Linked DNA regions of Stegostoma tigrinum. The protein of the gene in region 3 interacts with the protein of the main gene of each other region in a pairwise test. Links are inferred from orthologs where the notes say so. Each region holds a gene or a part of one and is shown on either strand. Other genes may lie near its edges. The genes, in order: protein bicaudal D homolog 2-like, cep70, mfap1 and amotl2a.

Region 1 (7,454 bases), on a different chromosome or scaffold from region 3:
TGCTTGACCTGTTGTGTTCATCCAGCTCCACACCTTGTTATCTCGGACTCTCCAGCATCTGCAGTTCCCATTATCTCAGAAGGAAACTTATGTTTGGTACAGAGCATTAAAACAGGGAAGGTCCTCCAGAAGCACAGACAGTGTGGGAGGGTGGCTTTAAAAATAAATTAGGAAGCCAAAGAGGGGCCATGAAATATCTTTGGCAGATAGAATTAAAGAAAATCCCAAGGCATTTTATAAATATATTCTATACTAACAGTAAGAGGATTACCAGGGAAAGAGGGGACTCTAGTAGAGACCAAAGGAAAAATCTGTGCATGGAGCCAGAAGACATGGGTGAGGTCTTAATTGAATATTTACCATCTGTTTCACAAAGGTTAAAGACAATGTAGCTGGATATTTCAGTTGGAATGGTGAGGTTCTATAGCATGTTAAGAAAAAGAAGGTGGAAGTTTAGCAGGTATAAAGGTATGTAAATCCCCAAGGCCTGATGCAATGTATGACAGGCTGCTTCGTTGGGGTAAGCGAGAAGATTGCTGATGCCCTGGAATGAGATATTTATTACTTTGCTACCAACAGGTAAAGTGCCAGATAACTGGAGAATAGATAATGTGGTTCTTTTGTTTAAGAAGGCCAGGTAATTGCAGATCATCCAATCAGATATCGGTGGTAGGGAAATAATGAGAAAATATTTCAGGAGACAGGATTTATTGGCATTTGGAAAGGCAGGGATAGATCAGGGATGATCGGCATGAACTTGTTGGAAGGATATCGTGTCTGACTAATTTAGTTGAATTTTTTGAAAAGGTGACTAAATATATTGATGAGGGTAACAAAGTTGATGTGGTATACGTGGACTTCTATAAGGCCTTTGACAAGGTCCCACATGGAAGGCAAGCCAAAACGTAGGAGTCCATGGTATCCTAGACAAGTTGGCAAACTGGATGCAAAATTGGTTCACAAATTGGAGGCAAAGAGTGACAGTGGTAGGTTGGTTTCATAATTGGAAGCTAGTGATCAGCAGCACATCACTGGGTTTGGTGCTGGGACAATAGCTGTTTGTTATGCACATTAACAACTTGGATGTGAACATAGAAGGTATAATGAGTGAATTTGTAGATGACACAAAAAAATGGACATTTTGTTAATAATGAGAAGGATGGTGTCAGGCTACAATCTGATATGGTCAGCTGGTAAATTGGGTAGAGCAATGGCCGTTGGAATTTAATGTGATAAATGCTGCACTTTGGGTGATCTAATAAGCGTAGGATATACACAATGAATGGTAGATCCATGGGGACTGCTGAGGGAAAAAAGGACATTGGCGTCTAAGTCAATAGATTTGATTTGGTTTGATTTTGATTAATTATTGTCACATGTACCTAGCTACAGTGAAAAGTTGTGTTTACCTGCAGTACAGGCAGATGATACATTACAAAGTGCATAACAGTAATAGAACAGCGTGAGGAATACAGTGTTGCAGCTTCGGATCCCTTGAAGGCATTAGCACAAATAGACAGGATGATAAAGAAAGCATAGGGGATGCTGATCTTTATTAGCTGAAGCATAGAAGAGAGGAGCAAGTAGGTCTTGTTACAATTTTATAAACATTTATTAGGCCACAGAAGGAATCCTGCATTCTGGTGCCACATTATTGGAAGGGTGTGATTGCATTGGAGAGGGTGCAGAGGAGATTTACCAGGATGTTGCCTGGGATGGAAAATCTCAGTTATGAGGAGACACTGAATAGGGCGTGCTTGTTTTCCTTGGGGCAGAAACAGAGGAGGCTGAGGGGGATCTGATCGAAGTGACAAGGTTATGAGAGGCATAGACAGGATAGATTGTGAGAATTCTCTCCCCATCGTAGATGTGTTTACAATCAGAGGGCATACAGCATGTTTAAAGTGAGGAGTAATTCATTAAGGGGGATCTGAGGAAACTTTATTTCTTCCAGAGGGTGGTAGAAATATGGAACATGCTGCTTTAGAGGTTGGAGGAGGCATATACTATTGCACCATTTAAGAAACATCTGGATGTGCACTTAAAATGCCAAGGCACAGAAGGCAATGGACGAAGCACAGAACAATGGGATTAGTGTATCAGTGATAATGGGAACTGCAGATGCTGGAGAATCCAAGATAACAAAGTGTGGAGCTGGATGAACACAGCAGGCCAAGCAGCATCTCAGGAGCACAAAAGCTGACGTTTCAGGCCGAGACCCTTCATCAGAGCCTCTGTTATTGCTGGCACCCATACCATATTTAAAAGGATGCTGTGAATCTGGTCAATCACTATAATTCTGAAGCTGCTTTACCCGGTGACAGTCAGTTTGAACACATAGCAATAACAGAGCCTCTGATGAAGGGTCTTGGCCCGAAACGTCAGCTTTTGTGCTCCTGAGATGCTGCTTGGCCTGCTGTGTTCATCCAGCTTCACACTTTGTTATAATGGGATTAGTGTAGTTTGGTACAAAAACACAAGTTGCTGGAAAACTCAACATGTCTGGCAGCTTCTGTGAAGAGAAAATCAGAGTTAGCGTTTCAGGTCTGGTGACCCTTCTTCAGAGCTGGCTCTACCTGAAAACGTCTATAAACTATTGTGGCATCCCAATACACTTGCAGGTCACTCAGGAAGCACAGACTTGCATTACATAGCACACCGGCAACTGGTATTGAAAGGCTGCTGCAGGGACAGGCACTCAGCTCACAGGCTGGGCAAAGGCTGCATCTTAAGGCTGCCGGCTTGCTTTCTAAGAACTTGTTCACCTGGGTTCTCAAAGTATCGGTGTCCTGCCTTGCCTTGCCTCAGCCCAGCTCCACAGCCAGGCAGCTTGCTTTGATGGCAGCAGTCCTCAGTCAATGGGGTATTCATCTTCTTATACAGCAAAATACAAAATCTTAGTTATACCTCAGGCCTGCAGCTTACATTTTTCCAATGTGTTCAAACTGACTGTCACCGGATAAAGCAGCTTCGGAATTATAGTGATTGTCCAGATTCACAGCATCCTTTTAAATATGGTATGGGTGCCAGCAATAACAAAGTGCGGAGCTAGAGGAACACAGCAGGCCAGGGAACATCAGCAGAGCAGGAAAGCTTATGTTTCAGTTTGGGATCCTTCTTCATAAATGTGTATGTTACGGGGTTATGTAGATTGTGTATAATATGGTGGGTATATTACATGGTGTGTTTTATGTTATACATAGTATATTGTGTTTTACAGGGTATATAATATATTGTATATTTTATATTTATATATCACAGGGTGTATGATACATTATATGTATTATATTGTATATATTGTAGGTTATATGATATATTATATATACAATATATATTACAAGATGTATGATGTATGTTATGTATACTACACTATATATTACAGGGTATGAGATACATTGTGTATATGACAAGGTGTATGATTTACTGCATTGATTGCAGGATGTATGATGTATGATATATTATAAACACTACACAATATATTACAGGTATGAGAAATAGGATGCATCTGCAGTTCCCATTATCACTGATACAATTTTAACCTCACTGCGAAGCCTCTTCCAGGGATGCCTAAGCTGAAGAAGTTACCCTCCTCCCTCTGGACCAACCTCAGGGAATCTCTCTCCCACTGCAACTCCCTTGTCTCTCCATGTTTGGTCCACCTCCCCCTCTCTCCCTATTTATTCCAGTTCCCTCTCCCCATCCCCCTCTCTGATGAAGGGTCTAGGCCCAAAACGTCAGCTTTTGTGCTCCTGAGATGCTGCTTGGCCTGCTGTGTTCATCCAACTCCACACTTTGTTATCTCGGATTCTCCAGCATCTGCAGTTCCCATTATCACATCAGAAATAGGATGTATATTTCGTATATATTGCACAGTATTTTAGATTACACGGTGAATAAGAGACTGTATAGATTACAAGGGGTATGATGTATTGAATAAATTAGGTGTATGATTTACTGTATATATTTTAGTGTGTATGATATAGTGTATAGATTACAGGGTGTATAGTTTATTGGATAGATTACAGGGTGTATGATAAACTGTATAGAACACAGGGTGTGGGGACCACGCAGTGTCCTCAAGCGGCTCCTTGTCTGTGGGGAAGGAGCTGACGTCAGCAGCTGGGAAGGAATGTCAGCGGCAATGGCGACGGGATGGTGGAGGAGGGGAGCAGCCTAACGGGGCGGAGACAGGAGTAGCAGACCCAGGAGCCGGCAGAACGGAGACGTTGGGGGAAGCGTTCTCTGTCTTTCGCACTTGGTCGCCTTCATTTTCCACCCCCTCCTTCAGGCTGAGTTTCGCTGCCTGGCCGGTGGGCCAGCCGGGTGAAGCTATGGTGGCCAAGGCAGCGAGGACCCCGTTTTAACTCAGCTGACCCGGGATCCGGACCGAATTGGCCGGCCGAGAAGCGAGCGAGCGGGCGGCGGCGCCATGCAGGCGGAGGAGCCACTGATGGAGAGCGAGAGTTTCCTGCGGACTGAGGTCGAGCGGCTGAACCGGGAGCTGAGCGAAACAACCCAGGAGAAGATCCAGGCGGCCGAGTACGGGCTGGTGGTGTTGGAGGAGAAGCAGAGCCTCAAACAACAGTATGAGGATCTGGAGGGCGAGTATGAGACAGTCAGACAGGAGTTGGAGCAGCTCCGAGAGGTGAGGCTTATTGAGCAAGGAAAAAGGATAATAATATCACCAAATCTCGATCCCGATTTTTGTACAGACGGTTTTGTTTTAAAAATAAGTTAATCATTTGCTTAAAATGTATTGGTTGGATTCTTCAAAAAAAAACTGACCGAAGACCCACCCATTGCCCAAGAGCGTCTGACCGTTGACAGATTCAAGCAGCAGCTCCCAGCATCTGCCACCTCACTGCTCAATAATAGTTGTTGTGCTGTGCCAAATGGCTCACAGTGGCTTGTTCGTACCGTTGAATCCCCTACTGTAACTGTATGAATTCTCGCAGTGGAGGAATCCCTTTGTCCTCATCTTTCAGCAGATTGTCATAGATCGGATTAGTGACCACTGTTAGATCCACGGGAAGCATGGTCAGAGATCCATCAAGCAGAGGCCACTAGATTTAAAAAAAACACTTCCCCCTCGGCATAAGTCAAATGTACAAACTAGGTAAATCAGCTAATTAGAGTTTGATGGCCAGTCAAATGGCCAGACAATGCAAAATTGTAAGATAAGTTTTGTTTTAATAACGCTTTGACAAGACCTAAAAAAATTCTCAAGAGAAAATATTTCCACGAATCTTTGGCACGAAGAAATTGCATAAAATATGTTGGGCAGGACTAGACTGTTGAGCCAAACTAGTTTAATACATCTAGTGACTAAGATGTTCAGACCGGAAAGAAAATGTTTAGATATACAATATTGTACTATCACAGTACATGAAGGTAAAGTGCTCCTCATATGCAGACATTCTGTAACTGCCTTGTAAAATGAAATACTTATGAGATGTGAATCATTGCTTGTCTTTGGGTTGTATGTTTTTTTCCCCACTCAAGACATCACTGGATTTGACTTGACGCCTCCTTTCAGAATTCTGGATTAGATTAGTGACTCATTGGGAAAGTCATGCTTAGCTTGCCTGCTTGGTTGATACAGCATGCTGATACAAAATTGAATCAATTACATTCTAGAATGAAGATTTCTTTTGGTTTTAACTATTATTGACTTTTTTTTGGTTCAAATCGATAATAGACTTCAATTTCTGTTTTGGAAAAGGTCAGTTTGTGGATATAACTACATCTATAGAGCACATCTTTTTACAAGTTTATGTTAAATTGATTAAAAATCAAATCTCAATCTGGATTGTGGAGCATTTTCATAATGAAGAAAATGTATTATTTCATTAGGATAACATTCGGATTGAGATTTTCAAATGTGAGCTGTTTAGAGCATTTGAATAATAAATTATCGGTTTAATGAAACGTCAAAGCATTGTAATGTCATACTGTGTTTGAAGGAAATATGTTAACGTTTGCAAGTCATGTTAATTGTATGTACTGGAAGTTTCAATATTTCTCTCAGTATTACGTGGGATATGAGGCTTTTGAGTGTTTATTTTCATATTCTTTAATTGAGCTGATATTTATGGGTCTGAATGACATTGGGTGGGAAAACTGCTGTCTTCAAATTTTAATGTTTAAACATTTCAGTTACAAATCAAGCAAGTAGTTTTAGTTTGATATATGCAGGAAAGGATCAGAAATGGCATATTGGACTTCTAAGACAAGAAAGATACATGAAAGGACTTGTATTCACCTTCACAAACTCAGGTCTAACTGATATTTATGGAAATCTAAAGAGATCATTTCTCTGCAAATTTGTTCTATTAAGCAAAGTTAAAAATGAACTTTGCAATCTCAAGGATTTGAAAAGATATTTTTTCAATGAGTGATTTAAACTTTTTCTGCTGTAAATAATAAATTACTCAACAGAAGATACTATGGAATATAACACAGTTTTTTTTATCTTTTTAACATTTCGTTAGATAATTCCTTCACATTTATTACAGGTTGTGTGGAAAATGGGAAGGGTCACTGGATATTTTTAATCAACCCATTCAGATCTATCATGACGCCTCCGGAGCAGGTGGAACTTGAACCCAGACATTCTGGCCCACAGGTAGCACATTGAACAGTACAGTGCAGTACAGGCGCTTCGGCCCTCAATGTTGCACCGACCTGTGAAACCAATCTGAAGCCCATCTAACCTACACTATTCCACTATCATCCATATGTTTATCCAGTGACAATTTAAATGCCCTTTTAAGTTGGAGAGTTGACTGCTGTTGCAGGCAGGGAATTCCACACCCTTACTGATCTCTCTGCTCATCCACACTGCCAAGAATCTTACCGTTAGCCCAGTACTCTGTATTCTTGTTACTCCTTCCACAGTAAATCACCTCTCACTTTTCCACATTAAACTCCATTTGCCACCTCTCAGTCCATGTCTGCAGCTTATCTATGTCCCTCTGTAACCTGCAACATCCTTCCGCACTGTCCACAACTCCACCGACTTTAATGTCATCTGCAAATTTACTAACCCATTCTTCTATGCCCTCATCCAGGTCATTTATAAAATGTAGTGGCCCCAAAACAGATCCTTGCGTTACACCACTAGTAACTGAACTCCAGGATGAACATTTCCCATCAATCACCACTGTCGTCTTACAGCTAGCCAATTTCTGATCCAAACTGCTAAATCGCCCTCAATCTCATGCCTCCGTATTTTCTTCAATAGCCTACTGTGGGGAGCCTTATCAAACGCTTTACTGAAATCCGTATACACCGCATCAACCGCTTTACCCTCATCCACTTGTTTGGTCACCTTCTCCAAGAACTCAATAAGGTTTGTGAAGCACAACCTACCCTTCACAAAACAGTGTTGACTGTCCCTCATCGAATTATTCCTTTCTGGATGATTATAAATCCTATCTCTTATAATCGTCTCC
Region 2 (7,620 bases), on a different chromosome or scaffold from region 3:
AATCTCACCACAGCGGATGGTGAAATTTGAATTCAATCCAATTTCTGGACCACAAAACCAATGGTATAAAAACCTGTAGGATTGACAAATATCTAGACAAGGAAAATAGCCTCTGTGTGAGTCTAGACCCATAGCAATATGGATGACTTTTAACTGCCTTCCTAAATGGCATATCAAGCCATTCAGTTGCATCAATAACAACTTCAGTTGTATAAATTGCTAGAAAGCCAAGCTAGTTGGACCACCTAGAATTTAGTACCTGAAATTACAATGGTAAATGCAGCCCTGTTGACTCTGCAATATCCTACTTACTAACACCAGGAGGTTTGTGCCAAAATCAGGAGAGGGTTTCACAGACCAATGAAACAAAAGCCTGACAAAGACATTCACAAGGAATCACACCTTACACATATTTCAGAGAACATTAGCACCCCTGGGTATAGACTGGCAAGACAGATGCATAGTGTAGTGTGATGGTAACACAATCAGCACAAAACATCCTGCTGATTACCAACTATGATCTCCCCCTGCCTCCTTCCAAGCAGATGAATCAGTACACTTTTGTGTACAACACCACTTGCAGAAAGTAATGAGGATGGTTATGGCGAAGAATGTTCTGTGGGTTTGGGACTTCAATGTCTACCAAGAATTGCTCAGCAGTATTACTACTGATGAAACTGACAAAGTCCTCAAGAACACGGCTGGATCTGCTGCAGGTGGTGAGGGAATCAAGAGGGAAAAACACCGCTAACCTCACCCTCATCAAGCTGACTGTGGCAAATACATCTGTTTATGACAGTATCGGTATGAGCGACCACGGTATGGTGGTCTTCTGTGAAGACGAAGTTCCATTTCAAATTGAATAAACCTTGCACTGTTCTGTGTAACACAATCACCACGTGAAATGGGATAGATCAGATAGATCTAGCACGTCAAGACTGGGTATTCATGAGGTGCTGTCGGGCATTCGAACTAACAGAATTGTATTCCAATCTATGGCCATAAGACCAGGAGTCTGAGAGCAGAAATAGGTTATTCAGCCATTTAATTTTGCTGCATCATTCAATGAAATCATGGCTCATCTTGTAATCCTTAACTCCATCACCTAAACTTTTCACCATAATCCAGGAATGCCTTATTAATGAAAAATCTATCCATCTCAGCCTTGAACATACTTGATGACCCAGTTCTACAGTCCTCTGCAGTAAAGAATCCTGCAGATTCATAGAGTCAAACAGCATGGAAACAAACCCAGCAGTCCAATTAGGCAATGCCAATCATATTCCAAAACTAAATTAGTCCTAGTGCCTGCATTTGGCCCACATCCATCCAAAACTTTCCAATTCATATACTGATCTCATCTCAAAGTCCCTACAGTGTGGAAACAGGTCCTTTGGCCTAACAAGTCCACACCAACCCTCAGAGCATCCGACCCAGACCTATCCTTATAACCCACCTAATCTACACATCTCTGAACACGACGGGCAATTTAGCACAGCCAATCCACCTAGCTTGCACGTCTTTTGACTGTGGGAGGAAACCAGAGCACCCGGGGGAAACCCACTCAGACACTGCTAGAATGTGCAAACTCGACACAGACAGTCACCCGAGGGTGGAAGTGAACCTAGGTCCCTGGTGCTGTGAGGCAGCAGTGCTAACAACTGAGCCATCATGCCAACCTGTAAAGAGGGTTGTGGTGGGGTCTGGAAGGTTGGTTGAGGACTTATCCAAATGTTTTTTAAACACTGTAACTGTACCTGCATTCACCATTTCCTTTAACAGTTCATTCCACACACAAACCACTGTGTGTAAAAAAAAATTGCCCCTCGCCATTCTAAAACTTTCCCCTCACACCTTAAAAATATGCCCCCTAGTTTTGAATTCACCCACCTTAGTGAAAAGACCTTTGCTATACACATTTTCTTTGAGTCTAATGATTTTATAAACCTCTACAAGGTCACCCCTCAACCTCCTATGCTCTTGTGAAAGAAGTCCCAGCATATTTCTATAACTGAAACCCCCTCATTCCAAGCAATATCTTGCTAAATATTTTCCGAACCCTCTCCAATTTGATAAAATCCTTCCTAACCAGAACTTTAAGGATAGACTGTTAACCTGCTTTTGTTTGTGATAATAGTCCTACACAATCTACTAACACTCAACTAAATCGTTCTTTAAAAAAAAACAGCTTGGCTATCAATGCTGCTGGTTTGATTTCATGGTGAGGTTTTTCTACCATCTGATACATATGAAATCTTGACCATGTAAATTATCTATGTTTCAATGCCTGTGTTTTCTGTATTCCTATATGCCCTGTCATAGGAACTCCATGTGCATTTTTTTCTTATGATATCTGGGCAGATATTTGATGAACAACCATTCAGACTTTGTCATCAAAACTTTGCTTGTAGTACATAAACAGTCTAGAACTCCGGCAGCCTCAATGTTAGCTTTCTGTGTTAACTCACTTCACTCTGGATTTGCTCTGCAAGCCTCTAATAATGAAAAAATGCCAAACACTTCTTTTGAATTATCTTAAGAACATTCTTAAGTACAGTTTCAGCTACCTTGGCATCTGCTGTGGTATTACTGTGGTCCAGCGATAGATTTTCTGTGGCTATTGCTCTGGTTGCTAATCAGTAAAGCAAAGGAACAACACCTACTCCTGCATCTCTGGTCATATAATAAGCCACTTGCTTTGGAAGAAGTATTCGTTCACAATTAAAGAAATTTTAGTTTAAAATAAACACTAAATCATGGGACACTTTTGAGTGAAAGGTGGGAGGTCTGGAGGAGACTTGGGGAAATTTTTATTTTGCGCGGAGGGCAGAGGATCTGGAGTGCGCTGCCTAGAAGGCTGGCTGAGGTGATTAAACTCCCATTCTTAAAAAAAAACTTAGATGAACACTTGAAGTGACATTGGTGGTTAAAATTGTTTCTAAGATAGTAGGGACTGCAGATGCTGGAGAATTCTGAAGAAGGGTCTAGGCCTGAAACGTCAGCCTTCCTGCTCCTCTGATGCTGCTTGGCCAGCTGTGTTCATCCAGCTCTACACCTTGTTATCTCTGATATTGGTAGTTATTTACTTCATTTGCTTTACTCGTTAAGATGCCGTCCTAAACACTGATTACAATCATGAGTATATTTTATTCTAGCCTATGAAACGGTTGGTAAATACTGACTGAATATATTTGCTTTAAACGCCTTCAACTAGTTGGACCACCTGGAATTTAGTAAGTTCAGCGATAAACAATGACTTGTTACTTCATTAAAATGTCAGGAGACAGCCATGTGTGATCTGCTCTAAAAAAAATACTAAATAGAAACCAGAAGAACTGCCGATGCTGTATGTCAGGAACAAAAACAAAGTGGTTGGAAAAGCTTAGCAGGTCTAGCAACATCTGTGAAGGAAATAAAAAAACAGAATTAGCGTTTCGGGTCCGGTGACCCTTCCTCAGAACAGAATCTACTTTTTTGATGAAGGGTCTAGGCCCGAAACGTCAGCTCTTGTGCTCCTAATGTGCTGGTTGACCTGCTGTGCTCATCCAGCTCCACACTTTTGTTATCTACATTAATCCCAGTTTACAGCACTAATGACTTCGATAAGGGACTTAAAAATTAACTCTAAAATAGGAAGGTAAAGTTTAATCTTAGACTGAGCAGGAATCACAATGTTTCTAAAGGAAAATTTAAAGGCCACCTGTTATTTATTAGCTCTGAGCTCCTCCGCGTCTGGCCAACACCGACCGTAACTATGGCAACTCGCAGCCACAACCTTCCTCGCGACAGCGGCCGTGTTCTTCACATAGATATCCAAGGAAAACCCCGGATCGCTGCCTGATTTGCATCTGACACCTTCAGCAGTAAACACAGCCGTCAGGATAGTCGTGCACACAAAATACACATTTTCCCCTAACTCCCTCCACTGCTGCGCAGACCAGATCTCGCGAAAACACTCACCTCTCTCCCGCTCCAACGGGAAGAATCCCCGTTCGCGTTCCCTAATCCGATTGGCTAATCCGATTGGTTCATTGCATGTGATTTCATTGGCTAACTCCCACCGATCCGATTTGTTTATTCATCCTCTGATGAAGGGTCCAGGCCCGAAACGTCAGCTTTTGCGCTCCTGGGATGCTGCTTGGCCTGCTGTGTTCATCCAGCTTCACACTTTATTATCTTAGATTCTCCAGCATCTGCAGTTCCCATTATCTCCGATTTGTTTATTTCCTGCTTTCTGATTGGTTTTTTCTCTGTATGTAACCTGAGTGGCTAATTTGTACTTGAGGGTGCGGTTACCTTGCGCGTCGACGTTCAGGGGGTTGGCTCTGCCCATGGGAGCGTATCATCTTGAGGGAAAGGGAGAAGCTGATAAAGGCGATTGAAATTATTGACGATGATAAAGAAGCTAAGCAGTAAGTATGTGTGTTTTGGAAACGGTTTGAATTTGTTTGTGGTAATATTGGAAAAGTTGTAGTAAACCTTTTTTTGAAAAAAAAAACGATGTTGATAATATGGAATAACTGTAATTTGCTCCCCCCCCCCGTATCGCTTTGTGGTGGGGTCTCCCCTCCCGCCGAATGTCCGGCTGTTGAACAGCTCGGCCTGTGGAGGGTGGGTTAACGGCGGTTGCGTATTAGAAAGAAGAGACCGGAGGGAGGCGTTCATTCATTTTTGAAACTGTAGATACAGTAAGGTGGAGAATTGGTATGTATTAAGCGACGATATTGGCCGAAATATTATTCTGCTAGTGGTTTGAAGTAGTAATTGAGGTACAGTCATTGATTCAATATTTCGATATTCACACAGCTTTCACTCAGGTTGTTTGATCCAGCTGAACGTTGCCAGCATTTTCTGTTACTATTTCTGAGTATGTACACTCTTACTTGCTCTCCGTTGATAACTGCAACGAACCGTTTCTCCTACTTATCATTTACAGATTTTTCAGTCTGCAGATCCGACAACTCATGTCATCTCTGCTTTGTGGCTGTGGCCTGTCTGTGAATAAGATATGCATATATTTGCTATTTTAAAAATGACATGTACTTCATAGAATATGAAAAAGTGTTTGATCATGTTTATCGCCCAAAAAAAGGTAATAGACATGTTGCTGAAATATGATCAGAGATAATGGGAACTGCAGATGCTGGAGAATCCGAGATAACAAAGTGTGGAGCTGGATGAACACAGCAGGCCAAGCAGTATCTCAGGAGCACAAAAGCTGTCGTTTTGGGCCTAGACCCTTCATCAGAGCGGGTCTGATGAAGGGTCTAGGTCTGAAATGTCAGCTTTTGTGATCCTGAAATGCTGCTTGGCCTGCTGTGTTCATCCCGCTACACGCTTTGTTATCTTGCTGAAATGTGATATTGATAATGAAGATAAGAATCCAAAGTCTGGAGAGGTTCTAAGTAGTGAACACTGGCCTACAAAGAAGCAATGAAATGCATTTTGAGTAAAAGGAAAAGTGTTGTAAACCACATTATTGTTCAATTTATTTACAGAACAAGTGTTTAGGATTAATCAGAAGCAATAACTAATCTTGTGTGCTGATGAGCACATTGCTGCTTGCAGAACTGGATGTGGGCTAACAAAATATCAAGTAAAATCTATAAATTCAGAATATTCATTGTGTGTATACCAAAAAGGCAATAGAATGATTGTTTAAAAATGAGTACATTGAAAGAAACCAGAATGAAATGAATGTTGTTACCTGAAATAATTACTTAAATTGGCTACTTAGGACAAACGAAGACAGAAGATGACAGATGCAGTGCAGAGGTTAGAAAAATGATTGAGATAGTTAGAAATGCTTGTTGTGAAGATGGAGACTGTGATGACCAGAAAACTGAAGTTTGTAACAAGGCAAAAACTGAAGATATCACATTTTGTGTTGCTTTGTATCTGAACAGGAGTTCACGTACAATAGGAATCTGTGCTTAAAAAAGGGGAAGAGCATCCAACAGAGGCTCGTTGTTCTCTTATATGTCCCTGACTTTTTTAAAACAAAGTGTGGAGCTGGATGAACACTGCAGGTCAAGCAGCATCTCAGGAGCACAAAAGCTGACGTTTCGGGCCTAGACCCTTCATCAGACCCCCTCTGATGAAGGGTCTAGGCCCAAAACGACAGCTTTTGTGCTCCTGAGATGCTGCTTGGCCTGCTGTGTTCATCCAGCTCCACACTTTGTTACCTTGGATTCTCCAGCATCTGCAGTTCCCATTATCTCAGGGACATGTAAGAGACCAACTTTCCCTTCCTACTGGTAGCATATTAAAGGAAAGTGAGCTCTTGTGGGAGTGGCCGCTTTGGAGAAGGGCTGTGAGCTTGAGTTCAACGTGTGGGCTTTTGTAATGAGGGCAAGTAACATTAAGATGCAGCAAGGTCAAGTCTTTCCTTTTTCCTTTTTAATCTAGTAATTTCCAGAGGGGTAGTAATGGAAGTTGGAGTGGTATGCACCCCCTGAGAGATCTGGGAGAGGTCATGTATCCCTGACAACTGTGTCCACCTTGCAGCTCCTCTTGAACTTTGTGGATGGGTTGGAGCAGTAGTTGGACTCATTGCGAAGTATACTGGAGGCAGAAAGTTTTATAGCTATAAGTTTTGGGATATGGCCAAAACAAAGGTTCAGTCACTGATGTGTTTGCCAGGAGGGGCAGGCAGGAATTGTACGAATCCACTGTAGCTATTCATCTGTCAAAGAAGTATATTAGTTTGGATATTAGTGGGTTGTGGGGAGGGAAGATATGGGCTCTTTCAGGATAGCAACTGCAGCAGTTAGGACAGTGGCACCATGATTGACTCTGTTGTACAACAGGGAGGATCGAAGTTTAGGTGAGTGGTTGTAATAGGAGACTCTGTAGTCTCGTTCACAGATGTTTCTCTGGCCATGAGCAAGGCTTCTGGATGATATGTTGCCTCTCTGGTGCAAGGTTTGAGAATGGCTCTAAGTGGGCACATAACATTCTGAAACGGAAGGGTGAGCAGTCAGAGATCATGGTCCATATTGGTACCAACGGCAGAAGCAGGAAGAGAGATGAGGTCCTGCAAAGAAAGTTTAAGGAATAAGATAGAAAAACGAAGAGCAGGACTTCTAGCATTGTAATCTCTGGACTACACCCTGTACCATTTGCTAGTGAGGCCAGAAGTTTTGAAAGATAATGTGGTTGAATGCGTGGCTGAGGAGCTGGTGTAGGAAGGAGGGCATCAGTGTTCTGCATCGTTGGGATCTCTTTCAGCGCAGGAGAGATGGATACAAGAAGGACCTGTTGCCCCTAAACTAGAGGGGTACCAATATTCTTGCGGGGAAGTTCGCAAGTGCCACTCGTGAGGGTTTAAGCTAGTGCTGCAAGGAATTGGGAATCAGTGCAGTGTAAGTCACTTGAATAGGAAGAGCAGGCCTGACAAGGTTATTGAACTAGATCAGAGTGGCAGCCTGAAGTGTACTTATTTCAAGGAGCATAATAGTTAAGGCAGATGAACTTGGAGAACTGGATTAGTAAAAGGAACTACAATGTTGAAACTTGTTTGAGTGAAGTTCGGTACTGGCAGTTCAACATTACAGGATTTAGACGTTTCATGCATGTTAAAGAGTGATACAAAGGACTGGGGGAGTTGCATTACTGATT
Region 3 (8,070 bases):
TCAGGTTATCACCATAGCCATAAAACCCAAGTCCTAGTCTCTTTGGTTTAGTCAAGACTTCAGCCCATCCAAAATACTTTGAAGTGTTGTCACTGTTCAAATATCTAAACCACAGCAACCAATTCTTGCAAATTGCAATGGTCATGATCAAACAAACTTTCTTCTATTGGGATCAGTATTGGCAAGGACACCAGGAAGAGAACTCCTGCTGCTCTATGAATTGCCAAGATGCTCTGCCTTCTTTCAGAGGCAGAATGGGCCACAATTTAAAAACTCTTCTGAATGTTGGTACCTCCGGCAGCATAGAGTCATACAGCACAGAAACAGACCCTTCGTTCATGCCAACCAGGTTCCCCCAACTAAACTAATCACATTTGCCTGTTTGATCCATATCCCTCCAAACCTTTCCTATTCAAGTACCTGTCCAAATGTCTTTTAAATGCTGTAACTGCACCTGCATCCATCGCTTCCTCTGGCAGCTCATTCCATTTACACACCAGCCTCCGTGTGAAAAGTCACCCCTTGAGTCCCCTTTAAATCTTTCCCTTTGCATCTTAAACTTATGCACTCCAGTTTTGAACTCCCCTACCCTAGGAAAAAGACCTTTGCTATTCACTTATCTATGCCTGTCATGATTTCATAAACCTCTGTAAGGTCACCCCTCAACCTGCTACTCTCCATGGAAAAAGATTCCAGCATATCCAGCCCCTCCCTATTACCCAAACTCTCCGGACCTGGTCACATCCTTATAAATCTTCTCAGTACCCTCTCCAATTTAATAGTGTTCTTCCTATAGCTGGGCAACCAGAACTGTACGCAGTATTCCAAAACTGTCTTCACCAACATCCTGTACAGCCACAACATGACTTTCCAACTCCTATACTCACCACCTGTCTACCAATACCATCACCAACTCTGTAAGTTCTTACTTTGCCTTACCAAAATGCAACGCTTTGCGTTTATCCAAATTAAACTCCATCTGTCACTCCTTAGCCCATTGGCCCGGCTGATCAAGATCCCATTGTATTCTTTAAATAACCATTTTCACTGTCTACTATACCACCAATTTTGGTGTCATCCGCAAACCTACTAACCATGCTTGCTATATTCTCATCCAAATTATTTATGTAAATGACAAACAACAATGGTCCCAGCACCAAACCCTGTAGAAAGACTCACTGGTCACAGGTCTCCAGTCCAGAAAACAACACTCCACCACCACCAATTTTGCGTCCAATTGGCAAGCTGTCCCTGGATCCCATGTGATTGAATGTTACTAAGCAGTCTACCACGCAGAACCTAGTCAAAGGCTTTACTAAAGCCCATATAAGCAATTTCTACTCTCTGGCCACAACGATCTTCTTGGTCGTGTCCTCAACAAACCCAATCAAGTTTGTGAGATGATTTTCCATGCACAAAACCATGCTGACTATTCCTAAGGAGTCTTTGCCTCTCCAAATTCAGGTAAATTCTCTTTCTGAGAATCCCCTCCAGCAACTTAACCACCAGTGACTTCAAGCTCACTGGTCTGTAGTTCTCTAGCTTTTCTTTGCAGCCTTTCTTAAATAAAGACACAAACTTAGACACCCTCCAGTCCTCCGGCACCTCACCCATAGCTATAGATGATGTAAGTATCTCTGCTAGGGAACCTGCAATTTCTTCCCCAGCTTCCCACAATGTTCTAGGTACACTTGATTAGGTCATAGTCATACAACACAGAAACAGACCCTTCAGTCCAACCAGCCCATGCTGAATGTAAACCCAAACTAAACTAGTCCCACCCACCCGCACATAGTCAATATGCCCCTAAACCTTTCATATTCATGTACTTTCCTACGTTATTTTTAAATGTTGTAACTGTGCCCGCATCTGCCACTTCCTCAGGAAGTTCATTCCACATGCAAACCACTCTCTGTGTAAAAAAAATTATCCCTCATGTCTTTTATTAATTCTCTCCTCCCTCACATTAAAAATATGCTCCCTAGTCTTGAAACTCCCTATCCTAAGGACAATGTCTCACAAATGTATCTACCTTTTTGCATTTTCAGACCTTCAGCACCTCTTTTTCTGTAAAGTGAACTATTTTCAAGACGTCATTATTTATTTCCTTAAGTTTTGTCAATTGTATCTATTTTTCTCCAGTAACTACAGTTGTGAAATATTCACTTTGTACCTCTCTCATCTCCTGTGGATCCGCATAAATATGGCCTTGTTGGTCTTAAAGTTTCCTATTCTCTTCCTAGTTGCTCTTGCGCACTTAATGAATTTGTAGCATCTCTTTGGATTCCTTATCTGCCAAAGCTATCCCATATCCTCCTTTTGCTCTCCTGATTTGCTTCAGCCAGCAGGAAGCCTGACAGCTCACTGTTCAACCGCCTTTGGTTCATCATTATCATTATCATCATCATCATTTGTGGTCCCTTGCAGAGAAGGATGACTCTCTTTCAGTCTCAGGGTTTGTATGTAGGTGGCTGTACAGACCACTGCAGCTACCACAGGCTCTATTACACTTGGGTCAGTTAGTGCTCACTCAAAGGGTTGGTGCGACAGCGCTCTCCTTTTGCTGTTTGCACCTGGTTTCCACTTTTTCCCAACGGCAAGTCTCGAGATACTGGGCACCTTCCTGGGTGCCCCTCCTCCATTTTGGCCAGTGATTCCCAGGTGTCTGGGGGAATGCTGTATTTTGTCAGTGAGACCTCAAGGGTAAATGACGTGAAGAGTCATGACGGCTGCCAACTTCTGCCCTTCGATTTTGTATCTGGTGGGGCATGCGACCAGTGAACCCAGAAAAATTGAAGGTGAATGTGCAGTCACAGCAGGGCTCAGAATCACAGGCGTCTCGCTGGTTTGGATTTAATGATGCCTCCCCACATTCCAGTTGTGGAGCAGCCATTAGGCTGTGGCTGTCATGAAAATAGTAGTTTCCACGGGAGACACCATTGCTGCCGTGGGGAAAGCAGTAGCGGTCACTGTGTGTACTATGTAACTGCCGAAGTAGCAGTAGCTGCTACAGTGTGGCCTTTGCGGAGGAGGTCATTATTTGGCTGTATGCAAGGCCACGGTGACCATTAAGAAGGCCACGTTCAGGCTCAGGGTAGGCAGTAATGGCCACATGATAGTTGTTGTAGATGTGGGGTAAGTGATTATTGTGACCGAAGGGAAGGCAATAGCAACAGTGGGGCGGCTATTTTGGATGCAGAGCAGCTACTGCAGCTGTATAAATAGCCATTCTCGCAGCCCAGGTCAAGGGAAGGTGTGAGGTAAGGAGGGTGCAAAGATGAAGTGATGGGTCCCCTTAATCCCCTCAAGGGATTCACTTCATCTATACCTGACATATGCTTCTTATTTTTCTTACTTCCTGAGTACTGGGAAGGTCAGCCGGTCTTTGGTATAAAATCCCATCAGGTAAACTTTGTACTCAGATGCTAATGAGCTAAAATGGAGATGAGCAGAAATATTTTATATTTGGCGGATTTTTATATCTGGAAGACCTGGTGGAGTCAGATTCCACCGAAAGGTTTAAAGGACAATTAGTTGAAGAGGAAAAGTTTACAGGGGAATAAGTGAGCATCTATTAGCACAGTCAGAGTGGGCTGAATAGCCTTTTTCTTTGGTGGAAGGTTCAGCTTGACATTAACAGGTATCTGGATAGCTTCTGAGCTTCTGCATCATCTGAAGATGTGGTAAAGTAGAAAATAGGTGCGGCAAAATGGTTCATTTTTCAGCCAGTGTAAGCAGAATGAGCAGGCTGGTTTCCTTCTGGCTGCCACAGTTCATTTTCTATATGCAGGAAACTTTTTATCGTCTGACACCAAACGGGACCAGGAATGTGCTGATTGGTCAAATATTATAGATAATTAAGAGGTTCACATCATCAATGTAAATGTAATGTGGGGGTATACACATTTTTGGCATAAATTACTTAAATAATAATGTAATTTTGCCTTAAATAAAACTTACCAGCAGACAGCCTTCTCATTTACACCCTCAAATGACTATTGGACAGTGCGGTAGATACAGCCGTAAGGTCGTTGTGCACAAAAACAGAACCTTTGGTCCAATAAGTCAATGCCAACCAGGTATCCTAAGTAAATCTAGTCCCATTAGCCAGCATTTGGCCTATATCCCTTTCAACCCTTCCCATTCATGGACTCATCCAGTTGCCTTTTTGATGTTGTAATTGTACCCAGCTTCACCACTTCCTCTGGCAGCTTATTCCATACATTCCCTCTGCGTGAAAAATGTATCCTCAAGTCCTTTTCAACCCTTTCCTCTCTCATTTAAGAACCGATACGCTGTAGTTTTGGACTGCCCCACCCTAGAAAAAAAGCGCATTGCTACTCACCCTACCCATGCCCCTCATGATTTTATAAACCACTATAAGCCTCAGCCTCTGATGCTCCAGGGAAAATAGCCCCAGCCTGTAAAACGCATCCTTGTAACTGAACCCACAAACCTGGCAACATCCTTGTAAATCTTTTCAGCACCCTTTCAAGATTAATAATATCTTCCCTCAGACAGGGAGACCACAATTGGACACAGTACTCCAGAGGTGGCCCAACCAATGCCCTATACAAGCCCCGCCCATATCCAAACCACGCCCACCTACAAAGCCCCGCCCACACGCGTGACCGGTGCAGTGACGTCAAACGCCAAAGGCATAAATAAGGCGAGTTCCCTGATGAGGTCATCACTCCGCGACTCCTGCCCGCCATCTTGTGGTTGTTGTGTAGGTTGTTTTGTTTGAGTTCGGCCTCTGAAAGCTGCAGCGCGAACCATGGCCGCCCCGCTCAGCCTGAACGCCAAGCAGCCGCCGATTCAGTCCACGGCCGGAGCCGTGCCCGTCCTCAATGAGAAAGGTGAGTGGAACCGAGTCCCCCCAGCCCATCGATACAGTATCCGCACCCCCCCGCGGCTCTCGGTACAGAGACCTCCCCCTCCTCCATCCCCTGGGCTCTTGGAATAAGTAACACCCTGAACCCCCCCCCTACCCCCGGCTGTCGGGACAGAATCTCCCCCCCCCCCCTCCCCGAGCTGTCGGTACAGAATCTCAACCCCCCCCCCCCCCCCCCGAGCTGTCGGTACAGAATCCCGCCCCACCCCCACCCCACCACACCCCACCACCACCCACCACCACCCCACCCCCCCCAACACCCCACCCCCCCCAACACCCCACCCCCCCCAACACCCCACCCCCCCCAACACCCCACCCCCCCCAACACCCCACCCCCCCAACACCCCACCCCCCCCAACACCCCACCCCCCCCAACACCCCACACCCACCAACACCCACCCCACACCCCACCCCCCCACCCCCACACCCCCCCACACCCCCCCACACCCACACCCCCCCACACCCCCCCACACCCCCCCACACCCCCCCACACCCCCCACCACCCCACACCCCCCCACACCCCCCCACACCCCCCACCCGTCGGTACAGAATCCCGCCGCACCCCCCCCCCCCCAGCTGTCAGTACAGAATCCCCCGGCTGTCGGTACAGAGACCTCCCCTCCTCCATCCCCTGGGCTCTTGGAATAAGTAACACCCTCACACCCCCTCCCCCCCCCCCCCCCCCCCCCCACCAGCTGTCGGTACAGGGAGCTACAAACCCCTCCCATGGGCTCTTGGTACAGGAGCACCCACTCCCTCGGGCTTTCAGTGCTGGGGGTGACTGGAATACACAGGGATACAATGATCCAGTGAAAGCTGCATTCTGCTGAAACATTTTTGGTGTGCTATTCAAATTGATGTTCCCTCTAGCCTCAGTGTCCAGCCCCTCCTTCCCCTCAACACCTGTCCCTCATTACTACCTCTTGTGTTCCTTTGGTCCTGACCCTAAAATGAACTGCTGAACCTGGATGAACTTGCTGCATTCCTTCTCTCAGAGCTACATTGATGAACATGTAACTGAGTGTTTACAAGACACAATCTAAAACACACTCAGCCATCTCTGATCCACACAGTGCGACCCCTATCGCTGCACTTGTTCTCAACCATAGTTGAATAAATGCTATGCCCCAATTTCTTTGTGGAATTTCACAGTTTAATTATGGAATTGCATCAGCTACTTGCTGCAGCCCCTGGTTCACCTTATTACCAAATTGCGCCTTAATATCCCTCAAGCAATTTTTCTTCCTTGAGTACCTCACTGTTTTACCCCTCTCAGCCAAACTGCTTGCACCACTTCATTCTTGGTCCACTGCTACCTCTAAGGTGCTCTCCTTCTCTTGACAGTCATACAGCATGGAAACAGAGCCTTCGGTCCAGCCAATCCATGCCAACCACGTTCTCTGTTAAACTCTTCTCTGTGACATCTTGTCCATAGTGCTATTAATCTTTGTCCCGTCTTGGCCAAACTGTAATAGGAGCGCTAGCAACTGGGCTTCTTTGGATCACAATGCTGATGACCCTGTGGTTACTGTAGTAATGGCCTTTGCTGAATGCACCTCCCTTTTGTGCCAGGTGAGGTGTCGATGGAAAAAGTGAAAGTCAAGCGCTATGTCTCTGGTAAGCGACCTGATTATGCGCCAATGGAGTCCTCGGATGAAGAGGAGGAAGACTTCCAGTTTGTGAAGAAGCCAAAGGATGCAGAGGCAGAGCCTGAGGTGCCAGAGGAGCTGGCAAACGACCCTCGTCTGAAACGTCTCCAAAACCGACTCTCTGAGGATGTAGAGGAAAGGTGAGAGAATCTGAAGCTTCTGGTCCTGCCAGGCAAACCCAAGATCATTTTTATGTATGACATACAAAAATTGAAATTGCTGGAGAAATGCAGCTTTGGGAAAGCAGAATCAACATTTTGACTTGTGTCCCTCCTTCAGAAGTCATAATATTGACCCTTTTCTCACCACATGCTGTCAGACCAGCTGAGTTTCTCCAGCTATTCCTATTTTTGTGTTTCAGATCTCAAAGGTCCACCATTCTTTGTTTTATGTTATTTTTATTTGTTTCTGAAAATGACCTGGTTCCTCCCTTAAACGCATTGCCTGATACTGAGCTACATAGATCCTGAAGGGTCTGGATAAAATGTTTGTCCTCAATTGATGGTAATGGGAACTGATCAGTAGTTTCAGTGCCCTTCAGTTAGTGAGAGGACTTAAAAAAAACAGAATTGTTGTTACTAATTAGGAATTGAGCACATAGGCCAAGCTCACATTTTAGCATCAGAGATAATGGGAACTGCAGATGCTGGAGAATCCAAGATAACAAAGTTTGAAGCTGGATGAACACAGCAGGCCAAGCAGCATCTAGACCCTAGGGCCTAGACCCTTCATCCGAAACGTCAGCTTTTGTGCTCCTGAGATGCTGCTTGGCCTGCTGTGTTATTCCAGCCTCACATTTTGTTATCTGACATTTTAGCATGATTGATTTGATTTTTGTTTTAAGCTTTATTGTCACGTGTACTCAAGTACAGAAGTACAGTGAAAATTGTGTAATGCCACCACACATGTCACAATCATAGGTACTTAGGTACAAGTAGTAACATCGATAATACTTTAGTTTTAACTTTATTTTTCTGCTTATACTAAGAACAAAGAGAAACAAAGTGAAAAGTTAACATTGCAGTCCTTCCTGGTATTAAGTCAAAAAAAGGGAACAGAGGTTAAAGTTCAACAGTCTTTCTTATGTGCTGTCCCTACAAGGGCTCAGTCTCCTTTGCTTTGGACCACTCTCTGGGAAACCTCAGGCTTCCTCAATGCTATTGATAAATGGCACTTCAGATGCTGCAGTCCTCTTTCAAATGCAATGTTTAACCAAATCCCATTTGCCATCTCAAGGAATGTCAAAGATCCTGCAGTATTCTTTCCTGGTGTCCTGGACAGAATTCATGCCTCAAACGAAATAACTGAGAAAACAGACTAACTGCTGATTTATTTTGTTGCTGCAACCTAAACAAGTGATTACATTGTATGGAATTCAACTTGGAACGTGTTGAGCGTGTGACAAGGTTATAGAAATGTTTGAGCACTGTTATTCTGCAGGAAGATGACTTTTTTTCTTCCCCTTTCTCCAGACTGGCCAGGCATCGGATGATTGTTGAACCTGAGGTAGTGATGGAGGCAGAATCT
Region 4 (8,420 bases), on a different chromosome or scaffold from region 3:
AGTTGCAATGTGAACATCACCTACCTGAGTCAGTTCCAAACATTTAACTATGAAAGGTGGTAACGAAAAGCCAGAGAACTATAGACTGACAACAGATAGTACGAACTGCCAATGCTGGTGTCAGAGATAACGCAGTATGGGCTGGAGGAACACAGCATCAACTTTCCTGCTCCTCTGATGATGCCTGGCCTGCTCTGTTCCTCCAGCTCCGCACTGTGTTATCTATAGATTGGTAAGCCTGACATCAGTGATGGGTAGGTTGTTAGGCAGGATTCTGAGGAACAGGATTTAACATGCATTTGGAAGGACAAGGACTCATTAGGAATAGTCAACATGAACTTACGCATAGGAAATTATGTATCACTAACTTGATTAAGCTTTTTGAAGAAGTGACAAAGAAGATTAACAAAGGCAGAGTGGAAGATATTGGACTTCAGTAAGGTGTTCGACAAGGTTCTGCATGATAGATTGGTTAGTAAGGTTAGATCAAATGGAATACAGAGAGAACTAGTCATTTGAATACAAAATTGGCTTGAAGATGGAAGAGAGAGCATTGTAGTGGAGGTTGGTTTTAGGAATAGGGGTGTGAAACCAGTCGTGTGCCACAAGGATCAGTGCTGGGACCACTGATTTTTGTCATTTATATAGATGATTTGGAGGTGAGCCTAGGAGGTATGGTTAATAACTTTGCAGATGGCACCAAAATTAGTGGTAGAGTTGACCGTGAAGAGGAATATCTCAGATAACAACAGGATTTTGATCAGATGGGCTAATGGCAGTGACAGATGGAGTTCAATTTAGATAAATGTGATGTTTTGCATTTTGGTAAGGCAAACCAAGGCAGGACTTATACAGGTAACATTTGGGCCCTGGGCAGTGTTGCTGAACAAAGTACCATGGAAGTGGAGCCACAAGTAGGCTGGGTGGTGGACAAGGCATGCTTGGCTTCATTGGTCAAACCACTGAATATAGGAGTTGGGAGCTCATGCTGCAGCTGTACAGGTCATTTACTTGGCCACTATTGGAATACTGTGATTAATTCTGATCTTCCTATTGTAGGAATGGTGTTGTTAAACTTGAAAAGGTTCAGAAAAGATTTACAAGTATGTTGCAGGGATTGGAGGGTTTGAGCTATTGAGAGAGCCTGAATTGGCTGGAGCTTTATTCCCTGGTGTGTCAGAGACTGAGGGCTGCCCTTCTAAAGGTTTGTAAAAACATGTGGGGCATGGATAGGCTGATTAGCCAAGGTCTTTTCCCCAGGCTAGGTAAGTCCAAAACTAGACGGCATAGGTTTAGCAAGAGAGGAGAAAGATTTAGAAAGAACCTGAGGGGCAACTTTTTCATGCAGATGGTGGTGTGTATTTGGAATGAGCTGCCAGAGGAAGTGGTGAAGGCTGGTACAATTACAACATTTAAAAGGCATCTGGATGGATTCATGAATAGGAAGGGTTTAGAGGGATATGGGCCAAATGCTAGCAAATGGGACTAGATTGATTTAGGATATCTTGATGGCAGGGGTGAGTTGGACCAATAGGTCTATTTCTATGCTGTACATCTTTATGACTGTGTGGCTATGATTATGGCACAACTGCTAGATCTCATTCTTCTGTCTTCCATTTTCAAGTTCTATGTTTCTAACTTTCATTCTTGTATCCCTGATCAAGTTCCCAGCCTTTCTCATTCTCATCCATGACAATGATAGCAAATTCTGTTACAATGACATTGTTTGTGTTCCTGCTGATATGCAACCTGTCCAGCTTGTACAGTTCCCGAGATACCAATTCCAATGCCTCAGGATCTAAATCTCTCCCTCCTACACCACTTTCTTCATGCCAAGTCATTCATTCAAATATTCTATTCTCCTATTTCCAATCCTGCTCATATGTGGTACTGGGAGTAATCCCAAGATTGCTATATTTGTGTTCCGACTGTTTGAATGTATTTCCCAGCTCCCTGTATTCTGCTTGAAGGATCATATTTCTCTTTTTGCCTATGGTCTTGGTTACTGATATTGACTATAGTGTTCTCCCACACTCTTCAGAATACCTTTGATCCTGGCACCAGGGAGACAACACACCATGCTGGAGTCACATCTGCTTCCACAAAACCATTTATCTAATACCCCCATGATTATCATTCACCTTCAGATCTGACTGAACCATATACAACATCATTTCACCTTGCTTCATCACTAAAAATGCTGACATATCCAGGAAGACACAAGAAATGGAAAGCTCCTTGTCTTCACCACTGAATATCTTGGTAAACATTGCTGTCCTGTTCCTTCCACCCTCACCTCCAACATGAAGCACTCATGACTTTCTATTACAAAGACTGAAGAGATCCATTTGGCAGCCTCTACTAATTCAGTCATCTCTTCTGTACTAGGCAAAGCATCCCCTAAGGTTTCTTTCCATCCTAGCTCTGAGCTCGCAACTTTCTGTAGTTTCTCTGCCACTTTGGAGAAAGGCATCAAACCACTCCATCATCAGTTGAACAAAGAGACAGTAAGAGTAATCAAAACTGTAGAGTCACTGATGTTTAAAAATCCATACAAAAACTGTGAATGGCACAATGGCTCAGTGCCAGGGAGCCAGGATTCCATCCGCAGACAACAGTCTGTGTGGACTTTGCACATTCACCCCATGTCTGTGTGGGTTTCATCCGGGCACTCCAATTTCCTCCCACAGTCCAAAGATGTGCAGGTGGATTGGCCATTGGAAATGGCCCACAGGATAGGGATAAGTGAATGGGTGGCATGCTCTTCAGAGGATGTTTGTGGACTTGATGGGAAGAATGTCCTGCTTCCACACTGTAGAGATTCTATAAGGAGCAAGCTGCCTCAGGGATGGTGTATGTGTAGACATCCGATGTCTGAGGTACTCTGGACTGGTATCTCAATGGCAGGCAAGGCAGTCTATAAAACCTGTCTCTATGGACAGACATTTTTTGAACTTTCTTTGAGCTCTTGCCAAGCAGCCAAAACACCCCACTCTCCAATACAGTAATCCAATGACATGAACTGTGCTCCTGCCAACAACTAATCTGCACTAGCTGTATTTTGGTACTCTGTGGTATCACTGAGAACCTGTACTAATATTTATTCCTCTTTAACTAGCCTGTACATCTTCAACTCAGGCACTGTTACTCTTTGACAATCCAATCCCTGGAGTCAAGGCAACTCATTTCTAATTTTATGATTATATGTTTTAATTGCTTGATTCATAACATTTTGATTTTGGATCTGGGCAAAGAGAATTTCTTGGTCCTTTTAGTAGTGACTTAAACAACCTGGAATCAGGGTGATTCCTGCCAGTTGGTGTTCAGGTCTGGTGAAAGAAGTGGGAATTGAAATTTTACTGAAGAGATGGGATAAAGAGGGGATTTCAGAATGACAAAACTCTAACTAGTGTGCCACAGGGATCAGAGCTGGACCCACAAATATTTACAATGTGAATTGATGACTTGGTTGAGGGAAGTAAATATATTATAGACACATTTGCAGATGACACAAAATAGTTGGGAAAGGAAGTGGTGAGGATGATGCAAAGAGTTTGCGAAGGGATACATACAGGTTAAGTGTGGGCAAAATCTTGTCAGAGGGAATATAATGTGGGGAAATGTGAGGTTATGCACTTTGGCAGGAAGTATAGGCGAGCTGAATATTGTTTAAATGGAGAAAGATTGCAGAAAGCTACAGAACAGAGGAAGTCTTCAGCTATGAATCACAAAAGGTTAGCATCCAAATTCAGCTAGTGATAGGAAAGGCAAATGGAATGTTGGCCATTATTTCAAAGCAAGGTATTTAAAAAGGGGAGTCAGACCACAGCTGGAATACTGTGAGCAGTTTGGTCCTCTTCTCTAAGGCAGGATACAGAGGCATACCCTCCAGTCCAGAGAAGGCTCCCTCCTCGTTGTTGAGGGACTGTCATTTGAGGAGAGGCTGAATAAGTTGGGCCTGGATTCATTCGAATTTAGAAACATGAGAGGTGAAATTATTGAAACATATAAGATTTCTAAGAGACTTGCTGGGGGAAGCATGGAGAGATTGTTCCCCCTCGTAGGAGAGTCTACCACTAGAGGGGATCATCTATGAAGAAGGGGGTCTCCCTTTTAAGGCAGAGATAAGGATTTCTTTTCTCTGGGAGGTTGATGAATGGTGGAATTCTTTGCCACAGAGGCAGTGGAGGCCAGATCATCAAGGCTGAGATAGACAGCTGTTTAATTAGCAAGGGAATGGAGGGTTATGGGGCAAAGGTGGGAAAGTGTGCTAAGGATTTATCAGATCAGCCATGACCTTATGGAAAAGTGGAGCAGACTTGACTGGCCGTTTTACATCCGCTCCTGAAGTTTAGTGAGACCATTCGACCTCCAATATGTTTGCCCATTGCCTGCTGGGTGATGGAACTGTGTCCCACATCCCCATTTATCCTTTGTTGTCTCTCTCCCCAGTGCAAATCTCCATACTGGTGATATTGGAGCTCCGCTTTGAAATGTGAGTATCGGACCAGTAAGTGCCACTCGCCAGCTCTTCTTTGTCGTATTTATTATCTTCTGCGGTATGCTGTTAAATAAGAACCAAAAGAATTGCGGAAGCTGTAAATCGGAAACAAAAACGTTGCTGGAAACGCTCAGCAGGTCTGGCAGCATCTGTGGAGGAGAAAAAAAGAGTTAACGTTTCGGGTCCGGTGACCCTTCCACACGGCAATGTGTTCTGAGCTTTTCCAGCAACTTTGTTTTTGTTCCATGCTTTTAAATAAACTCAACTTCAATTCATCTACTTTGAGGGCTTAAAGATTGCATAGCCCCCGGGATTGGGAAGGAGAAGAGTCCCAGATATCCATCGCTCCGGTGTCAATGCAAGCTGCTGTTTGAGTTTCTCCAGCATCGCCCCCCACCCCCCAGTTTAGATGGTATTTTCCGCAGTGTTATCACTCTGTGCTGTGCCGTGAGATTGAACTGTTTGCTCATTGTGTGTGCCCTCTGCAGGTTGAGTCTTGGTGTGCGGTAGGAGCTGCCTTTGATAGAGCCAGGAACGCGCATTCCTGACATTCCTGCCGCTGCTGCATCGCCCCGGCTGCAGCTGGGATCTTGCCATTCCATAGCGAGCAAGCAAACAGGCGGCTAGGGCTGTCCGGTTCCCAGTTCCCACACCACGGTCACTTCCAGCACCGAAATCTGAGCTTGAGGCAGAGCTAGGACTCTGTCCCTGATGTGAAAAACCCCACTCCAGGTCAGTCTCCCATTTCTCATTCTATTATAGTGTCTGTTCAGCCTTTTGGGGACAAGCTCGAACGGATTTCACACTCGAGCCTGCCGAATAGTCTGGAGAAGGTGCGACCTGTTCCGAGTGCTTCCCCCGGGTTCATCTGCTCACGGGAGAGTTATTTGCTCGCCTTACGGGTGTGAGCAGCCGCATTTTCACAGGTCTCAGCCGGAAACTGTCCGCCTCCCCGAGCCGTTTCTCCCAGTGCCGGCGTGAGCTGATCTCCGTCACACAGCCTACTGGCTGCTGAGCTCACTCAACAGGAATGTGCCAGCCAAAAGGAGCCAGTGAAGGAAATATACGCCGACTTAGTCACGATTAGACTGAAATATTCTTCCCGTGTTGCTAAAGATTTCAGATTCAAATTTTCACCCAGTGTTGGTAAAGATTTCGAATTGTAATTTTCACCCAGAGTTGGTAAAGATTTCGGATCGTAATTTTCACCCAGTGTTGGTAAAGGTAATGAGTTATAATGTTCACGCTATAGTGAAGATAAGGATTGTAATATTCACCCCAAGGTGGTAAAGATTTTAGAATGCAATATTGTATTGTAATATTTACTTTTGTATGAAAGATTATAGATTATAAAATCTCTCTGTATTAGTAATTATATTATAGTGCAAAAAATAAAGTGTACCTTTATGTTATTACCGTTTATAAGAGAACAAAAAAACTTAGTTTACTGTAAACTTTACAGATGGGAGAGAACTTTATCAAATAATAATTAAGTTCGTAAACAATTAGGCTCTTTGACATGCTGCAATCTCTGATGCAATTGTTACGCTGAAATTCTTCAATAATCCTTACAGATGTTAATGGCAAGAAAATCTTTTTATGTTTAACATTAGAGATTTTTGAAGAATATTGAAAATATATGGGATGATGGATTAGTGCTGGAGAGTGAAATGAGCAGACTTTTGAGTTGAGTGCAGTAGTGGATTGAAAGATGTTTTCACATTGTTGTGGAATGCATGTTTTGCCCCAGGATGTTGCAGGTTAGTGAATGAGCTATTGTTTTGGAAATTTGCAGGAATTCAGTTCCATTTGCAAGTCTGTTGTATTTTGTTAGTGGCCCCATTCAGGGAAAGCCATACATTAAAAAAAGTAGCCCAACTTTTCAAAATATACCTTTATTTGTGTATCAACTATTAATATCTGATGATCTGCTTTTTTCACCTTCTGCAAATGTATTTTGGGACCAGATCTGTTTCCTGCAAGTTTGAATGGTTAGAAATGGTAATAATTATTATTGGCATTTTAGCTGGAAAAAACACTTGCAATTTTGAGGCAGGGTTTATGAGAGTGGCCTGAAATTCTGTTGATCTGGAGTAAAATCAGAAACACATCTAAATTGGAGGAATAATGGGATCTCTTCACTCTTGATCACCCATCCATTCTCACAATGGACTAAGTGATTTTGTGCTTTCATTACTGCCAGCATTGCCTCAAATCGTTTCAAAAATCTTTGTGACTGTAGTCCAGTGGTCGTGCAGACCCTCCTTTACATGTTTTTTTAATAATCCATTCCAAATTCCTGTCAAACAAGATTTAAAATTTAAAATGAATTTCTCACCTATGTTGTGAGTTTTACAACATGTTGTCTGATATAGTTAAAGATTTAGGATCAGATAAAACACAGGCGGTTTTAAATGTAGGGGCTTTGAGAAGAAATCACTCACGATCTTTAAATTTCACAACTTATTGTGGAAGTTTCCCACAGGATATTCAGGCTAACAATTGCTCAACGTCTCAGCAGCCAATCCCCAACTCCATTTTCCACCCCCCCCCCGCCAGATTCTTGCAATAGTCATTTCATACTCACAATTTAATGTCTGACATTCCTCAAATTCATGCCATTATCTTGTGATGATAAAACAACTACCCTGAGCCTGGATAGCTGTTGTTGCAGCCTGACGTGCTGTCACCAGGGAAACAGTTCCCAGGGGCATGCATGTGGGCAGCATTTGGCTGGGGCAGGCTCTGGAACGCAATGTGACAGGGTTAGTGCTGCTAGATTGTATCCTGTGTCATTTTCTTGGAAATAACTTCAGTATTTTTGCTGAGGACGAGGGGGAGTAAGTGTTGGCAAGTTGTGCACATACTGTTCGAGCTTGAAAGAAACACTGTACGATATAGAGTCCTGTGCTTGCCTGTAAATCACTCATTGTGCCCATTTCACAAACTTACTGCACTGAGAATTCAATGGGCATGTGTAGTTTTGCAATGTTACAATTGATTTCAAGACTTAATTGGTATAAAAAATGTATTGAATTTGGTAGATTGAGGATGCAAGGGAGATTTATTAGAATAGTATCAAGGCAAAGAACACTTGTTATGTGGAGAGATTGAAGAAGCTGGGATTGTTAGTCAGAGAAGGTAAAGGGACTATTTGACAGGTTGTTAAAATGATAAAGGTTTTTGTTTTGGGGAGTTGAAGTGTTCCCATTGGCAACAAAGCTGGATAACTAGAGGACACAGGTTCATAGCGAGTGGTAAAAGAATCTTGGTGGAGAATATTTGAAAAAAGCAACTTTTTATTATCTGCCTGAAAGGGTAATGGAGTTAGCTTCAAGAACTTTCAAAAAATAATTTCCAAAAGGAAACGATTTTCAGGACTGTGTGAAAGCAAAGGGGCTGAAACTGAAACTCATCTGAAGAGTTGACACAAGCATAATGGGCTGAATGGCCTCCTGACCTTATGGGTTCTATGAAGTATGTAACAATTAATTGACGGATCTCATTGTTTGATATCAAATGTGTATACATGTATAGTGTGTGTGTGTCTGTGATGTTTGGAATTCATTACCTGTTTTGTGTTTTAGGATCTAACCATTATCTGAGCTACAATGAGAACAGCAGAAGACTCGTCAGGTACGGTCCTACACAGACTGATCCAGGAACAGTTGCGTTATGGGAACCTTACGGATAATCGCACATTGCTGGCTATCCAGCAACAGGCAATGAGGGGAGGATCCAGCAGTCCCCAGTCCTCTTTGGAAAGCCTCACTCAGGAGGAGTGTCAAATTGTCCAGCATTCTACCCGGCAGGAGCCACAGGGTCAAGAACACCAGGGTGACCATGCTCACTCAGAAAACCTGCTACATCGCCTACACCAGCTTCAGTTCAATGGAGAAGAACTCCCATCTTATGAAGA

The links.
Region 1: the proteins of mfap1 (region 3) and protein bicaudal D homolog 2-like interact in binary tests that used the Homo sapiens proteins (3 or more experiments, as listed by UniProt). The link is inferred for Stegostoma tigrinum from reciprocal best matches to the Homo sapiens genes MFAP1 and BICD2.
Region 2: the proteins of mfap1 (region 3) and cep70 interact in binary tests that used the Homo sapiens proteins (3 or more experiments, as listed by UniProt). The two-hybrid records come from large-scale screens. The link is inferred for Stegostoma tigrinum from reciprocal best matches to the Homo sapiens genes MFAP1 and CEP70.
Region 4: the proteins of mfap1 (region 3) and amotl2a interact in binary tests that used the Homo sapiens proteins (3 or more experiments, as listed by UniProt). The two-hybrid records come from large-scale screens. The link is inferred for Stegostoma tigrinum from reciprocal best matches to the Homo sapiens genes MFAP1 and AMOTL2.

The regions. Positions count from the first base shown.
Region 1 is NC_081364.1:29,078,435-29,085,888, reverse strand, and holds the start of protein bicaudal D homolog 2-like, read left to right. Parts: upstream 1-4,132; 5' UTR 4,133-4,429; coding exon 4,430-4,645; intron 4,646-7,454. UniProt on the Homo sapiens protein: Acts as an adapter protein linking the dynein motor complex to various cargos and converts dynein from a non-processive to a highly processive motor in the presence of dynactin.
Region 2 is NC_081360.1:66,673,249-66,680,868, forward strand, and holds the start of cep70 (centrosomal protein of 70 kDa), read left to right. Parts: upstream 1-4,067; 5' UTR 4,068-4,412; intron 4,413-4,578; exon of another isoform or gene 4,579-4,704; intron 4,705-7,620.
Region 3 is NC_081389.1:22,688,726-22,696,795, forward strand, and holds the start of mfap1 (microfibrillar-associated protein 1), read left to right. Parts: upstream 1-4,692; 5' UTR 4,693-4,777; coding exon 4,778-4,859; intron 4,860-6,466; coding exon 6,467-6,683; intron 6,684-8,015; coding exon 8,016-8,070. UniProt on the Homo sapiens protein: Involved in pre-mRNA splicing as a component of the spliceosome.
Region 4 is NC_081367.1:1,412,541-1,420,960, reverse strand, and holds the start of amotl2a (angiomotin-like 2a), read left to right. Parts: upstream 1-4,971; 5' UTR 4,972-5,233; intron 5,234-5,368; exon of another isoform or gene 5,369-5,725; intron 5,726-7,160; exon of another isoform or gene 7,161-7,266; intron 7,267-8,088; 5' UTR 8,089-8,112; coding exon 8,113-8,420. UniProt on the Homo sapiens protein: Regulates the translocation of phosphorylated SRC to peripheral cell-matrix adhesion sites. Required for proper architecture of actin filaments.